Callithrix jacchus: one gene and its partner. The protein of the gene in region 1 interacts with the protein of each later gene in a pairwise test. Links are inferred from orthologs where the notes say so. Each region holds a gene or a part of one and is shown on either strand. Other genes may lie near its edges. The genes, in order: SIAH2 and USP19.

The links.
Region 2: the proteins of SIAH2 (region 1) and USP19 interact in a two-hybrid assay, tested with the Homo sapiens proteins (2 studies listed by BioGRID). The link is inferred for Callithrix jacchus from reciprocal best matches to the Homo sapiens genes SIAH2 and USP19.

What each region holds. Positions count from the first base shown.
Region 1 is NC_133518.1:34,522,312-34,524,993, forward strand, and holds the end of SIAH2 (E3 ubiquitin-protein ligase SIAH2), read left to right. Parts: intron 1-465; coding exon 466-1,023; 3' UTR 1,024-2,028; downstream 2,029-2,682. UniProt on the Homo sapiens protein: E3 ubiquitin-protein ligase that mediates ubiquitination and subsequent proteasomal degradation of target proteins.
Region 2 is NC_133516.1:31,732,844-31,736,664, reverse strand, and holds part of USP19 (ubiquitin carboxyl-terminal hydrolase 19), read left to right. Parts: intron 1-380; coding exon 381-491; intron 492-571; coding exon 572-673; intron 674-1,769; coding exon 1,770-1,910; intron 1,911-1,996; coding exon 1,997-2,115; intron 2,116-2,333; coding exon 2,334-2,471; intron 2,472-2,568; coding exon 2,569-2,882; intron 2,883-2,997; coding exon 2,998-3,108; intron 3,109-3,196; coding exon 3,197-3,413; intron 3,414-3,499; coding exon 3,500-3,652; intron 3,653-3,758; coding exon 3,759-3,821. UniProt on the Homo sapiens protein: Deubiquitinating enzyme that regulates the degradation of various proteins by removing ubiquitin moieties, thereby preventing their proteasomal degradation. Stabilizes RNF123, which promotes CDKN1B degradation and contributes to cell proliferation.

The DNA of each region.
Region 1 (2,682 bases):
GAGGGACAACAGAATTATAGTTTTCACTGTCGTCTTTGTGCAAAAACTAATTTGGAGATAATATAATATTCCTTGCCCAACCCCATCCCCAGCCCCAAGCAATTGAATTCTTTAAAAAACAGCTTCACAGAAAATATGGGGAAGGCCAGATTTTACAGGACTTGCTCAACAATTTTGAGATGCGCGACGTAAAAGAATTTAGTTCTTGTCCTTTTGACAGTAGAACAGGGTCATGGAAAACAGCCTACTTCTGGTTCAGGAAATACCTTTGATTTTATGCATGACAACACTAATGATGAAGAGAGACTGAGACCTTTAATCTTGAATATTTCACTTGTTTTGAGCAAAAGTAGTTAGGAACACAGTTTAAGCCCAGGAAAACAGAGTAGTTAAGTACTTATAGAGGGTTGCACCAACAGAAGTTTTGAGAAGGCCCCATGGCTCAATGCATTTCTTTTTCCGCAGTATGCCACCACGGGCTGTTCCCTAACCCTGCACCATACAGAGAAGCCAGAACACGAAGACATCTGTGAATACCGTCCCTACTCCTGCCCTTGTCCTGGCGCTTCCTGCAAGTGGCAGGGGTCCCTGGAAGCTGTGATGTCCCATCTCATGCACGCCCACAAGAGCATTACCACCCTTCAGGGAGAAGACATCGTCTTTCTAGCTACAGACATTAACTTGCCAGGGGCTGTCGACTGGGTGATGATGCAGTCATGTTTCGGCCATCATTTCATGCTGGTGCTGGAGAAACAAGAGAAGTACGAAGGCCACCAGCAGTTTTTTGCCATCGTCTTGCTCATTGGCACCCGCAAGCAAGCCGAGAACTTTGCCTACAGACTGGAGTTGAACGGGAACCGGCGGAGACTGACCTGGGAGGCCACACCCCGGTCCATTCACGATGGTGTGGCTGCGGCCATCATGAACAGTGACTGCCTGGTTTTCGACACAGCCATAGCACATCTTTTTGCAGATAATGGGAACCTTGGAATCAACGTGACTATTTCTACTTGTTGTCCATGATGTGGCTTTCGTAACCCATCCAAATTATGTGAGCATAGTGCTCTATGTTTAATAAAGGTTTTTATAAAGGTTTTATTCCATATGTCTTCACAAGTCAGGACCAACAGTTACCTGTGTTTTGTTTGAACAGCAGTTTCCCATCTGGCATTGACCCCACAAAGTTCATTAACCTGGGATGAATGGGGTTGGCCTGTTGGTGATTTAGAGGCTGTTCTGTGATCTAAAACAACTCTCTTATTAAATTTTATGTACATCCTAAACAACATTTGACAGGCTGTTGCACAGGGCTTCTGTAGATCAGTGTGTTAGGAATGGGAGGCCCCTTCCTGCCTGCCTTCCCATATTGGTCCCTTGTCATTGACAAAAGCACAGTGACTGTCAGCAGATTCCTTTACTTTTGTTTGTGGGAGGTAGGAATTGTTTTAATGCATTTTAAACAGTATTTCTCAAACTGGATGGCTAATAGACATCGAATCACCCGGAGTGCTTATCTTAAAATTGCAGATTTAGGGAGCCTGCCAATTTAACAGTCTCATCTGGTGATTCTTTTCAACAGCAATGTTTGAAAATTACTGGGCTAAATTGTGGGAAAGGGTCCAGATTTTAAAGGTGCTTTAAGATTGCCCTCTGCCGATACTGTTTGTCTTTCTACTGTTTCATTCCCTAACCTCCCCTGACCCTCAAATTAAAACTAGAACTACAGATCCACATGAACACACGCCTGAGATCTGGTCACTCACTTGTGTTTTGGGTGGATTGCCTAGAAAGCAAGTCATATGGCCATTAGTTCTCATGTAATTAGTTTTGCTCACCACTAGAACAGGGGACTCGTTTACACATGGCTTCCCTCAGAAGCCCTACTTGATAGTAGCTGGTGTGAAAGACTAGATCAGTAGATTGGAAAAGCTTTATAACCGGTGTGTCATATGCTTGCTATTTAAAGGTGTGTGTTGGTTTTGTTTTTCTGCCACATTCACTAGTTTTTTAATAAATATTTTCCAAAAATGGATGTTGTGCTTTATTTCCCTAATTGAATAATGGGTATTTATTGAGCATCAATTGTGTGCAAGTGCAATGAACCTTTACCACTGCATCTGGGGTTGGAACTTTCACTGTTTTCACTGAGGAAACAGTCATTGGGCCAAGGTCATGACATGGGTCCATGACAGCACTGGGGTCCAGGCTCACACATCTGAACCACTGACTGTCGGTGGTACAGGTCTCCTCCCAGGGCTGTCATTTCTGTCTGACAGTGTTAGCAGCTGCGCAAGAAGAGGATTGCTCCTGCTTTACCGAGTGAGAAGGAAGACACTTGGCCAGTGCTGACATCCAGAGTGCTGGGGTTGATCCAAGGTGACCCACTCCCTCAGTCCCAACCATATACTCCCAAAAGAATTCAGAGATTAGTGCCAAATGCTTAGTGAGGATTGATGACTGCTTACCTCAGCGTCCCAATTTCTTTTCTTTTCTTCTCTCTTTTTTTTTTTTTAAAGACAGAGATTGGAGTGCAATGGTGTGATCTCAGCTTACTGTAACCTTGCCTCTGGATTCAAATGATTTTCCTGCCTCAGCCTCCCAAGTAACTGGGACTACAGGCCCATGCCACCACACCCAGCTAATTTTTGTATTTGTAGTAGAGATGAGGTTTTACCATACTGG
Region 2 (3,821 bases), on another chromosome or scaffold:
AAGGTTTGGGCAAAGAAGCTGGCAGGGAGGCCTTAGGATTCTATGTGGACTGAAGAGCCTATTCAGGGTAGGCTTCCTGACTGAGGGAAAAGTGATATTAAAGCTCAGAGGTGTTGTCACAGGGTTCTGGGCACATGGGGTGTAAGTGTGAGGCAAATTTGTAAAGTGGCTAAGCTGAGCATGGCTTTGAGTGCCAGAAAGAGGGATCATTAACTCCTGGTGGCCCTCCTGCCCCATCTAGTGTCCTCAAGCCTGAGAGTTTGCTGGTTGGCTCTGAGGGCCCTGAGAGCCATCAGAAAGCCTGGAATGGGCTCTTTGGGCATGAGCATCTTGTCTCCCACTCTCTGTGCAGTCACCCAGTGCCAACTATACATCCACAGGTCTCCATCACTTTTGACCCATTTCTTTATCTGCCGGTGCCCTTGCCACAAAAGCAAAAGGTTCTCCCCGTCTTTTATTTTGCCCGAGAGCCCCACAGCAAGCCCGTCAAGGTGAGGAGTAAGCCCCTACCCTCTGGGCTATCACAGAGAATGTGGCCCACCTCCCTCACTGGCTGCCCTTTTTGCCACAGTTCCTGGTGAGCATCAGCAAGGAGAACTCCACTGCGAGTGAAGTATTGGACTCCCTCTCTCAGAGCGTTCATGTGAAGCCTGAGAACCTGCGTTTGGCAGAGGTATCTTTGTCCTTCCTTGGACTATTATATATGTGGACGTGTGCGTACTCAGCATAGACGTTTACAGTCATTGACATCTACAGACATACACATGGGCTGGGCACAGTGGCTCATAGCTATAATCCCAACACTTTGTGAGGCTGAGGTGAGCAGATCACTTGAGCCCAGCAGTTTGGGACCAGGCCAGGCAACTTGGCGAAACAAGAAATCTCTACAAGAAATAAAAAACAAGTCTCTACAAGAAATAAAAAAATTGGATGGGTGTGGTGGGTATGTGCTTATAGTCCCAGCTACTTCAGAGGCTGAGGCAGGAGGCTCACTTGAGCTCAGGAGGTGGAGGTTGCAGTGAGCAGAGATCGACTGCATTGCAGCACTCTAGCCTGGGTGACAGAGTGAGACCCTGTCTCAAAAATAAATAGATAAAACATAAAAATAGACATACACATGAATGTGCCTGTGACTGCCCAAAAACAGGCAATGTGCTGTTATTTGAGGCATGTTTGAAACCAGGCATTTTGTCTGTACAACAGAAGTGCCCTTAGTTCCTAGCCATTATCTGGGTTTATTCCCCTTTGTGGTGGTGGACCCCAACTGCATTTCCCTTTTCAGACAAGGAGCTTGAGCTGCAGGACTATCACTATGTTTACTCTGCTTCTCCCTCTATCCTACTACTGCTTTCCTTTTATCCCAGTTCTGTGTGCTAGCTCTCTCCAGGGGTTCCTAACCTTTAGCCTGACAGTGTCGGTTTTCTCAGGGATAAGAGTGGGGAGGAATCTCCTTGAATGTGAACCCTCCGTGACAATATGTTGCAGTCTTATAAGGCCATGCTAGTTATAGTAGGGTAGAGTCCCTCAGTGTGGAGAGCTGGTATTGTTGATATCTGCCCAACACCTGGTCTTTCAGGCCCTCTGATGCACTAGGCTCATTATGGCCTTAGGCACTGAGATGGATGCCAGCGGAGGCATAAGCCTATTTGGGCCTCCAGACCTTACTGCTGCCCATAGACCCAAGGCAGGGCCAAGTTTTCTTACACTCTGGGGCAGGACTAGGGAAAGGGCTTATTCTTATGTGGGATCTGTGTGTTCTCTGTCCCCAGGTAATTAAGAATCGTTTCCAACGTGTGTTCCTGCCCTCCCACTCACTGGACACTGTGTCCCCATCTGATATGCTCCTCTGCTTTGAGCTGCTATCCCCAGAGTTGGCTAAGGAGCGGGTAGTGGTGCTAGAGGTGCAACAGGTGAGTGGGGGCCAACCTGATGGCACAGGGCCCTGGTGGGTGGGGCACTCCTGCCTGGTCTTGCTGAGCCAGACGACCCACCCTAGCGCCCTCAGGTGCCCAGCGTCCCCATCTCCAAGTGTGCAGCCTGCCAGCGGAAGCAACAGTCGGAGGATGAAAAACTGAAGCGCTGTACCCGGTGCTATCGTGTGGGCTACTGCAACCAGTGAGGACCCCCGTGGTCTCCCCCACCCTTCCTTACTACCTTCTATGTGCCACCCTGCCCCTTCCTGCCACACCAAGGCACATATGCTTAAGATATACCTGTCACCCTACTTTACCAGGCTCTGGGGGAGGCAGGGCTGGCATACCCAGTTCCAAGGGACTATGACGAGCCCCCAGGATGGGGCTGAGGGCCTATCCTTGTCTTCCTCTTCCCTTCAGGCTCTGCCAGAAAACCCACTGGCCTGACCACAAGGGCCTCTGCCGACCTGAGAACATTGGGTACCCCTTCCTGGTCAGTGTACCCGCCTCACGCCTCACTTATGCACGCCTCGCTCAGCTGCTAGAGGGCTACGCCCGGTAAGTGCCCAGTGGTTGGACTAGAGTGGTGTAGGTGGGGACAGAGATGCTAGATGGGCTGGTCAGGAATCTTATTTGCCTTGTTGTCTGTTGCTAGGTACTCTGTGAGTGTATTCCAGCCACCCTTTCAACCTGGCCGCATGGCCTTGGAGTCTCAGAGCCCTGGCTGCACCACACTGCTCTCCACTGGCTCCCTGGAGGCTGGGGACAGTGAGAGGGACCCCATTCAGCCACCTGAGCTCCAGCTGGTGACCCCTGTGGCTGATGGGGACACAGGGCCTCTCCGGGTATGGACAGCCCCTGACCGGGGTCCTGTGCCCAGCACCAGTGGAATTTCTTCTGACATGCTGGCCAGTGGGCCCATTGAGGTTGGCTCCTTGCCTGCTAGCGAGAGGGTGTCCCGACCTGAAGGTAAGATCCGGTGAATGACTCCGGGAGCTGGGAAAGAAGAGACAGGAGGGTTGGGGGGGGCTCTTGTTTAGGTCCTGATGGGCAGGGAAGATTTGATTATCATGTTTTCACACAGCCGCTGTGCCCGGGTACCAGCACCCAAGTGAAGCTTTGAATGCCCACACACCCCAGTTCTTCATCTATAAAATTGACTCATCCAACCGAGAGCAGCGGCTAGAGGATAAAGGTGTCTGAGGCAGCGGGTGGGAGCCATGGTGTGGTTTGAGTTGGTTGTTCTCCACAGCTGCATGACCTCTCTCCCTGCCAATCTCCAGGAGACACCCCACTGGAGCTGGGTGATGATTGTAGCCTGGCTCTTGTCTGGCGGAACAATGAGCGATTGCAGGAGTTTGTGTTGGTAGCCTCTAAAGAGCTGGAATGTGCTGAGGATCCAGGCTCTGCTGGTGAGGCTGCCCGGGCTGGCCACTTCACCCTGGACCAGTGCCTCAACCTCTTCACACGGCCTGAGGTGCTGGCACCCGAGGAGGCCTGGTGAGAACAGGGCAGCAGGCAGATAAGGGGGCAGGATGGAGAAGAGAGAGACTTGCTGGTCCTGACCCAACCTCTGTCCCCTCCAGGTACTGCCCACAGTGCAAACAGCACCGTGAGGCCTCCAAGCAGCTGTTGCTATGGCGCCTGCCAAATGTTCTCATCGTGCAGCTCAAGCGCTTCTCCTTTCGTAGTTTTATCTGGCGTGACAAGATCAATGACTTGGTGGAGTTCCCTGTTCGGTGAGCAGCGGACCGTGGTGACTGTGGGCGGAGCGTGAGGACCAGGGTGGGCATCCGGAGCACCTGCTGCTTGTCTCACCCCTCCCTGACTGGACCTGACCTGCAGGAATCTGGACCTGAGCAAGTTCTGCATTGGCCAGAAAGAGGAGCAGCTGCCCAACTACGATCT